Drosophila melanogaster: one gene and its partner. The protein of the gene in region 1 interacts with the protein of each later gene in a pairwise test. Each region holds a gene or a part of one and is shown in the gene's direction. Other genes may lie near its edges.

What was found.
Region 2: the proteins of Rpt4 (region 1) and BHD interact in a two-hybrid assay, tested with the Drosophila melanogaster proteins (one study listed by BioGRID).

What each region holds. Positions count from the first base shown.
Region 1 is NC_004354.4:6,288,824-6,293,411, reverse strand, and holds Rpt4 (regulatory particle triple-A ATPase 4), read left to right. Parts: upstream 1-2,166; 5' UTR 2,167-2,288; coding exon 2,289-2,397; intron 2,398-2,453; coding exon 2,454-2,573; intron 2,574-2,636; coding exon 2,637-3,357; intron 3,358-3,486; coding exon 3,487-3,627; intron 3,628-3,690; coding exon 3,691-3,793; 3' UTR 3,794-3,942; downstream 3,943-4,588. Other genes in the region: CG15892 (uncharacterized protein), read left to right, coding at 1-232; mldr (mulder), read right to left, coding at 305-677, 744-2,005; wuho, read right to left, coding at 3,984-4,588.
Region 2 is NT_037436.4:7,236,018-7,240,605, forward strand, and holds BHD (Birt-Hogg-Dube), read left to right. Parts: upstream 1-2,524; 5' UTR 2,525-2,617; coding exon 2,618-3,776; intron 3,777-3,865; coding exon 3,866-3,968; intron 3,969-4,026; coding exon 4,027-4,147; 3' UTR 4,148-4,228; downstream 4,229-4,588. Other genes in the region: CG14829 (uncharacterized protein), read right to left, coding at 1,357-1,498, 1,565-2,082; RpL18 (ribosomal protein L18), read right to left, coding at 4,284-4,588.

The sequences.
Region 1 (4,588 bases):
CCTCGCGCACGCGCTGCTCAGTTTGATCATTAAGGCGCTGGACTCGGCAGCCACAAGGGATCCCAACGAGCTGGCCAAGCCGGCCGACTTGGACTTCGAGATGGACAATCACATCAAGCGTCGGCTCATGTGCGCCGCCGAGAAGAAGCTGCTGTACGAGCGCCGTCGCAAGAAGCCCCAGCCGCAGGGTCTTGGAGCCTTTGAGAAGTGCACCCGCTATGACTGCGACTAGGACGGCTCCTTCAGTGTATTCGTGTTAACATTTGGCTACTATTTATTCGCATAAGAAGTCTTGCTCACATGGTCACCTCGTTGTTTTGGTCTTGGTTTTGGTGGCGGGTATCGTCTGCTCCTTCATCTGGATGCACAGCCAGTTGGCGGGCACCTCGAAGCTGTCTGTGGGATGCGGCGTGTACTGCGCGCAGTAGGGCACATGCCAGGTGTCCGCCACTTGGTGGGCACACAGCCGATGACGAACGGGCTCCTTGACTATAATCTGACCCGTTTGCGTTTGGGTGACCAGGGAGAACTGGTGCTCCTGCTGCCAGCGACGAAAGATGGGCTTCAGCTCGGTGCCCAGATGAAAGGCGTGACTGCGCATCAGGTCGCGGGAGAAGAAGTCTGTCTCCTGGCCGCTGCGCAGCGTGGCATACAGCAGGAAGGGATCATCGTGCGACCTATAAGCAAACGAACGAACGAATTAGTCTACCTATCCCTTTCCAATTCGAGATGAATTCCCTTACAGATTGCTGGTCAAGAAGAGGCTGGCATTGCAGTGCACATAGTGCATGGCCTGCTTGGACCAGTTGCGCATGTGCTCGCGTCCCAGGACGAGGACACGCTTGTCCTGTTCCCGGAAATGACGCACCACCGTAGCCACTAGCTTGGCCAGCTGCTGCGGCGTCTTTTTGGTGCCCGTAGAGTAGGCCACATTGAGGCCATCGATCACACAGTCGTATGGCGCCGTCTTTTCGACAAACTTCTTGAACCTGGCCACCTCCTCGGGCGTGGAGCGCTGGAAGACGTCTCGTCGTATGAGCACGCGCTCCAGAAAACATTCGCTTAGCTGCCGGAACTCCTCATCGCTGATGGCCACCGGCTGGAGGTGCTGCTGGCAGGACTGGCACTTGCCCAGACCTCCCAAATGGGTGGTCCTGGTGTGCAACAGTTGGGGCACCTGGCTGGACAGCTCCTGCAATCGTATCGCCACCCGCTGGCTGACTAGAATCTCATGGCGTTCGAGGAATTGCAACAAAAGGCTAAGCTGTGCAGGAAGTTGTGCCGTTTCGTTGGCCAGTCGATTGAGCAGCGCCAGATAGACCTCGCATTTGGGCGGCTTCCGTGCCGTGGCCATCTCTTCCAGTAGGCGCCAGGCCAATTCCTGCTCCGGTGTCGCCACACTGAAGGCCTTCTCCGCCAGCGCGGAGTAGGCGGCCACACTGGGCGTACTGGTGACCTTCATCATCTCGAGCAGCGGCAGTCCGCGCTGCCAATCATCGCCGCTGGTGGCCACCAGTCCATGAATCACATTCTCGCAGCTGCTGGCGTCCAGAGTTTCGTGCTCCGCCTGCAATGATCGGCAGATCTGCAGTATCTCCGACTGTTCCGCCTCGCTAAGCGGTCGCTCGTGGTAGGCGGCATTGTAGACCCTCAGCAGGCGACCCAGTGTCGCTGCATTCGGTTTGGAGCCCCTGCTCCTCAGGAACTCCACATAGCTTTTGGCCAACGACAATTGGTTGGGTGCACTGCACACGCCCAGAATGACGGCGTCCACGTTGTGCCCGTTGATGTGCTTGTACCCGTCCACGAGCGACCTCCGCACCTCCGTCCACTCCGCGCCACTCAGCTCATGGCGACGCTCGAAGAGATCACTGCGCAGCTGGTCCAGCCGATCGGCCGGCAGGCTGCCCGGCTGCGGGCGCCGCTTGTGCTGGCTAGCCAGCCAGCGCGGATGGGCGTGCCCGGCGATCGGCAGGAGATTTCGTAGCAGGCGTAAATTATACATTAGTTAAATTTAAATTTAGATTAAAATTATTCTCGCTTAACACAATAATTCCAATAAGAATTATGCCGGCTGGCGGTGTGGCCAGTCACACGCTGCACTTAGCCAGTGCACGCACCGCATTTGGTATATGCCAAATGAAATATACCGAAGTAAGTGTACATTTATTGCGTGCCACGTTACGGGCACACTGCATTGCGACAAAAGTTGCAACTCACTACTTTTCTGAATTTAATTTATTTTAAGCGTTGCACAGCCGAAAGTACAGCGTAAATCCTCGAACAAGATGACCGTGACCGCCACACCGATGCCGGACAATCTGCGGGTGAAAGCCTTATCCGAGTACCGAAAGAAGTTGCTAGAGCACAAGGAAATCGAGGGACGCCTCAAAGAAAGTTCGTCTATCCGCTGATCTCCGCCAGCAAATGCGTATTAACCTGGCTATTTTCAGAGCGCGAGGAGATCAAGGATCTGACCAAGCTGTACGACAAGTCGGAGAACGATCTAAAGGCCCTGCAGAGCGTGGGACAGATCGTTGGTGAGGTGCTGAAGCAGCTGACCGAGGATAAATGTGAGAACTCTCCCATATTCTGTCTAAGATTGCCTCTATTCTAACTACTTACTTGCCACACAGTCATTGTGAAGGCCACCAATGGACCCCGCTACGTGGTCGGCTGCCGCCGGCAGCTGGACAAAGCCAAGCTGAAGTCCGGAACTCGTGTGGCCCTCGACATGACCACACTGACCATTATGCGCTACTTGCCGCGCGAGGTGGACCCACTGGTGTACAATATGTCGCACGAGGATCCCGGGGATGTCACCTACTCGGCCATCGGCGGCCTAACCGACCAAATTCGCGAGCTGCGCGAAGTGATCGAGCTGCCCCTACTGAATCCGGAGCTCTTCCTGCGCGTCGGCATCACGCCACCGAAGGGTTGTTTGCTGTACGGACCTCCTGGCACCGGCAAGACCCTGCTGGCCCGTGCAGTGGCCTCCCAGCTGGACGCCAACTTCCTCAAGGTCGTGTCCTCGGCGATTGTCGACAAGTATATTGGCGAGAGTGCGCGTCTCATTCGCGAGATGTTCAACTATGCCCGCGACCATCAGCCCTGCATCATTTTCATGGACGAAATCGACGCTATCGGTGGTCGGCGCTTCTCCGAGGGCACCTCTGCCGATCGCGAGATCCAGCGCACCCTGATGGAGCTGCTCAACCAGATGGACGGCTTCGATTCGCTTGGCCAAGTCAAGATGATCATGGCAACCAATCGTCCGGACACCCTCGATCCTGCCCTTCTGCGTCCGGGTCGCTTGGACAGGAAGATCGAGATTCCGCTGCCCAACGAGCAGGCTAGGTAAGCTATATTCCCACATTGATTGGCTCTTATCTTTGATGTCTTCTTGGTGAAATATGAATAGGGATTTCTCAGATTAGATACTTACATACTTTGTCATACTGATGGTAAAACCCCAACTCCTTTTAGGTTGGAAATTCTCAAGATTCACGCACTGAAGATCGCCAAGCACGGCGAAATCGACTACGAGGCCATTGTCAAGCTGTCGGACAACTTTAATGGCGCTGATCTGCGTAATGTCTGCACGGAGGCGGGTCTCTTTGCCATTCGGTAAGTGCGAAGTTTCCACCGCTTGATAAGCTCCCTAAAATGTAACTATTCTTGCAAATCCAGTGCGGAGCGGGAGTACGTCATCCAGGAGGACTTCATGAAGGCGGTGCGCAAGGTGTCGGACAACAAGAAGTTGGAGAGCAAGCTGGACTACAAGCCCGTCTAGGAGCCAGTGCTCGCCACCGCCCCCCATAGAGATAACCATACACCATTTACACACATATACAGATATATATATATTATGCCCACAACGGGCCTGTCACACAAAGTCCGTTGCTTCTTCTCCATATGCTAATTAAATGCTATGTAAAGATTAGGTTCATTTAATTTCCTTTGGGTATGTGGGCGCCCGGGGATTAGCCGCACTTCTGCTGCTGCTGCTCCTCGATGCGCCGCTTCTTGCGCTCCAAATAGTCGCTAACGTTGTCGAAGCGCTTCTTAAACCAAACGGACAAGTCCTCGGGAATGAATGGCGGTGCGCCCTCCTCGTTGGCACCCAATCCGTCTAGCACCATCTTCAGCCAGCCCTCGGGCACGCCGCTGCTCGCCGGCTGGCCAGTTGCGATGTCGTAGACGCGCAAGCTTAAGCGTTCGTTCTCTGCGCCGGTGATGTAGATCCGGTCGCTGGTTAAAGTAAAGTTGCTAATGCTCCATGAGCCCGCTTCGGCGCAAACCAGTTGTGTGGCCGTCACGCTCCAGGTGTCATCGGAGCTGCGCTCCAGGCGATACAATCCCAGGGCGTCCACGTGCTCGTAGAAGAGCACCGCCGCCTGGAAGACCTTCTCCGGCTCCAGCTGGCGTACCAATAAACGAACCGCCGGTGCTGGTAGCTCGTGCTGCAGCAGCTCTTTGCCCTGAATGTAGTTCCATACGCGCAAGGTCTTGTCCCCCGAAGCGGAGGCGATATGCTGCTCCGTGAGCAGTGCCAGGCCTGAGACAAACTCCCTGTGGCCCAGGCAAT
Region 2 (4,588 bases), on another chromosome or scaffold:
CGCACCGTAAGAACATTTCTCGAAAGCTATGTAACTAACTCGATCATTTTGTAGTTATTTAAGCTTACTTTAAATTATTTTCCCGCTTTGTTTTCTTAATATTTAGTTGATATTTTTGAATTTACGATATGGCTGCCGCATAAACATGACAGCCGCAGACATTAGTTACCTATTCCACTGCACCATCACAAGTTCAAACACCGCAAAGTTGTGCAGGCATTCCCCCCAAGCCACCGCCCCCTTCCCCTACCTTCCTCCCCCCCCACTTCTTTGCTGCGCCAACTGCACTCTGGCAGGTTCCTTCGCCCCACTTTCTCCGCTTTCACCGCACTCCCCTCGCCTTCTACGCCGCTTAGCTCCTTCGTTGTTCGCGTTGTCATAATCGCATTTGAATTAGCTGTGCACACGAGGCGCAGCTGAGGATTCTGAACAGGGTGCATAAATGAATAATAGTAAAATTAATAATTGATAAGACAAATAAAATAAACGAAGATATGAATTTATAATGTACAAATACGATTCACAGATTTACTTTATTCCACCTATATATACAAATATTTATATCATTTCATTCGTCACAATAGAGAACATTCATTAAAATATATTTGAAGCTAAATTTATATTTTTATATATATTTATACTAGAATGGAAATTATATTTTTATGTGATAGGAATAAAAAAGTAATATTTAACATACTATCGAAGTAGACAAAGTAAAAATATAACTTAATATACTTTTATTTATTTCTTTGAATTCAACGATTCAAAATTAGTTAGTTATTCTAGGGAAATCTCTGACTAAAATAGTATCTGCTGCACCCTGTTGGAAAGCCCATTCCATCCGCTTGGCACCGTCTGCGAGCCTAATGTGCCACTTAAGACGCATTTATTGTCTTTCGTTGCTGCTGCCGGCGTTCTTGCCGCGCGGCGGCTGTTGGTGGTGCCGCATTTTCCATTTAATTGACGCCATTGTTGACAAAATGGCGGTCGTGTGTTGGCTTTCGCTGCACCGCTTTCCAAGCCCAACTTGCACCAGCCACAAGCCATTAATGTTAACGCATTTTTCGCCTAGATTCTGGGGTAGGATGTTGGCATGGATGCACTCGTGTTTCTGGTTTACCAAAGGCGACATCCTCCAGTCGGTGGAGTTAAAGGGGGCGTGGCGACGACAAGGGCGCAAATCACTTGCAATTAGTGTTAAAAATTCAACGGAGTAACTAGATTGTTCATGTGAGCAGATATACTCGAAAGTTGACAGTGATTCCAGTTGATCTTACTGAAAAGCACTATCAGTGGTAATCATTGAATTAACTTGATTTATTCAAGTCGTAACATCAGTTTAAAAAAAAACCCTTTTCAATACTCCACATCCAGAGCATATGCATCCAGCACACTTTCACCCCTTGGACAATCCGAATAGCGAGCTAGGCAATCGATTCCAGCCTGGCCAGCTGCTAAAGCCTCCTTGTAGGCCACATCCAAGCGCGTTTTACCAGGTCTATTAAGTTTATATAGATTTATAATTCTTCCATTCAAGTAATAGCATTCTAAAACTGCAACTTACGTGAGTAGAACGACTAGTAGCTCCGCCATGATGCCCACATGGTGATGCACCTGCGCATTTTCACAGATCCCTCGCAGCAAACAGTGACGACCTCGACCAGGAGATCCACTCACTTGGTCCATATAGTTCTCCAAGGCGGCATATACGAACAGGCGAGTGTCGTCCTCGTGCGTCTCATCCAAGCTCCTGATCTTCTCCTGCAACGAACGCGCATATATCGTCTCCCATTTGTCCCAGGGATATAGTGGTGCCGATGGCAGGGTAAATGCCCCGAAATGCAGCACATAGTAGTAGACCAAACTGCGCCAGACCACGGGATCCTCGAGCTGAGTGGACAGCACGGGACCCACTACCAAACGGATGGTTCCTCCATTCCGGTAGATCAACTGATGCCTCTTCTGGCGCGCATGCATATACTCCGTAATATTTTGGCCAACTGGAGCAGCTACTAACATATACGCACTCCTAACCACAGGTAATGAACAGGCCAATAAATATATCCAAGAAACCAGTTGCATTGTGTGGAAAAACGTCTGTAGGTGGCACAATAACTTTCGAGAATGAAACTCACTGGAATCGATACCCATTTGTGATGCTGAAAATTAAAGCATTATGGACTCAAGCAATTAGCATCCAAATTGGGTTATAAAGACATCCAGATCTGCTTTACATTTTCGTTCTGCATAATTAATTGGGTAAATAATTACAGATACATTTCTACATATCTTAAAAACACAATTCAAAAATTCTTTCTTAATTTGAACTTCTATTAACATAAGGAATTTATTGTCATGTGTATTTATTTAATATTATGTCGTCATAGCACATTGATTTATAGTTTAGTATTTATATTTTACATATACAAAACAAGAATAAAATGTATATTCCCGCAAAATTTAAAATATCGCTTAAGAAATCCCTGCAATGTTTTCTATGTTCTTACCGCCATTTCTGGTATTTCAGTGAATGTACGCAACTGGTCACTCTAGTATTATTAACTAACAAAATAAACAATAACATAACCAAGGATATAAAGGAAACTGTAGAGCAGCGATGAACGCCGTGATAGCGCTGTGCCACTTTTGCGAGGCGCACGGTCCCTGCGCCATCTTCTGCACCCAGACACTGAGGGACACCAAGCTGGAGGACCTGTCACTGGAACAGCAGACGCAAAAGACCTGCTCCGCCTGCAATTACTCCATGGGCAAGAATAACAATGCGATCTACAGCAGGGACACGGAAAGCGGGGCCACATTCGTCAGCACCAAGGTGGCGGTGCTGCCGGAGGTGGCCAGTCTGGTCAAGCAGGCGGCGGTGCTCAGTCTGAGCAATGGTACGGATGCCAGCAAGGATGGCGAGTTCGTGTTCTTTGGCGATTCGTCCAGGGGTCACATCCTGAGTCACACCTTCCGAGTGAGCGACCTGCAGGCCCGCGGCTACTCGCAGCTGTTCTCCATCATTGTGCTGATGAAGGACAAGTATTTCCTGCTTAACATCAAGCCCTTTCTGGCGGAGCACCTGAAGAAGGTGTCGTCGGAGCTGCAGGCAGCTGCCAAAAAGACCAAGGAGACGGAGGAGCAGACGTACTCAGAGCGACAGAGGCGTCTGTCCGGCGCTCAGTTCCTGATGCCCACTTCCCGTGCCTTGCTGGAGCTAACAGGCGAGGAGCACATCTTCGCCCAGTTGCACTCACACTTCTCGTGGCTCCTGCTAGCCGGATCCCGCTTCCTCACCGAGCACGTGACCTTCGGCAACCTACCGTGGCTACCGCCACAAAGTAGTGGCCGTCCTCCCGCACAGCGACTCACCTACAACAGTTCCACACTGCCAATGATAGAGAGCATCGACGATCCCGATCTGGAGGAGTTCTTCTCGTTGCGCCATCTCAAGAGTGTCGTCCGCAAGGAGGAGTTTGCCACGGTCTGCTATTGTGCCTTGACTGGGGTGAAGATTGTGGTCAGAGGTGATCCCAGAAAGACCTTCCGTTTCATGGTCTGCCTGAAGAAACTCCTGCCCGAGCCCATGCACAATCTAATGCGAATCGATGCCCAACATCAACACTCCATCAGCTCCGAGTACAAAATCATATCCGTGTCCAATGACATAGCCGTGCCAATGGCCAGTAGCTCCGTTTATCGGATCGATTTTCTGGACAAACACGTCAACGGACACGAGGTGTCGGTCAAATGGCCAGGAGAGCTGCCACGAAAATGTAAGCTTCACATCCAATCCGTTCCCGCTTTCACTGATAAAAACGAGTCGGGGATATTGATATTGATTCTATTGATTCTCCCACTTTAGTGCCAGATCTTATGGTGAAACTTTTAAAGGCGGTGGAGGAGAAAAACTTCACAGAACTCGTGCTGAACAAGCAGACCAAGGTGCTCATCGAAGAGTGGAAAAAGTGAGTAGCCGTCCTATTTTGCTGCACAGATCCGAACTCAATTGAATTCCATCTACAGCAAAGTGACCTGCCTCAACCATGCCAAATCCACCAGCGTGCAGGGCAAACTTAAGAAGGTGCTTGGCGTGCAGCCGCACGATCAGCCGATTATTAACTACTGGAGCACACACCTTCACTAGTACAACCGATTACCGCACAGATTAAGGACTTTCTTTTTCACCTTTTGGAATAAAACTCTTTTATTGCCGTGCGATGGCGAGAAAAATCATTATCTTAACCAAAAGGATGCCGAATCCAGTCCAGTCAGCCAGTCGCTTACTTCTTGTAGCCGCAGCTGGAGCGACGACCACGAGCACGCTCGAACTTGCGTCCCTTAGAGCGGACATAGGGGCGGGTGTGCGAGTGGGGCACACCGGGAGCCTTGCCGAAGTGCTTGCAGGCGGTGCGGGCGGTACGCCTGCCCTGCAGCAGCAGCGTGTTCTTGCCGGTGGGCGATCGGAGAGCCAGTTGATCGAAGGTCAGGACCTCACCGCCGGCCTTCAGGATGCGCTCCCTGGCGGTCTGCGTGACGTGCAGGGCGCACACGGTGAGCTTGGGCACCACCAGGAGGCGGGCATCGT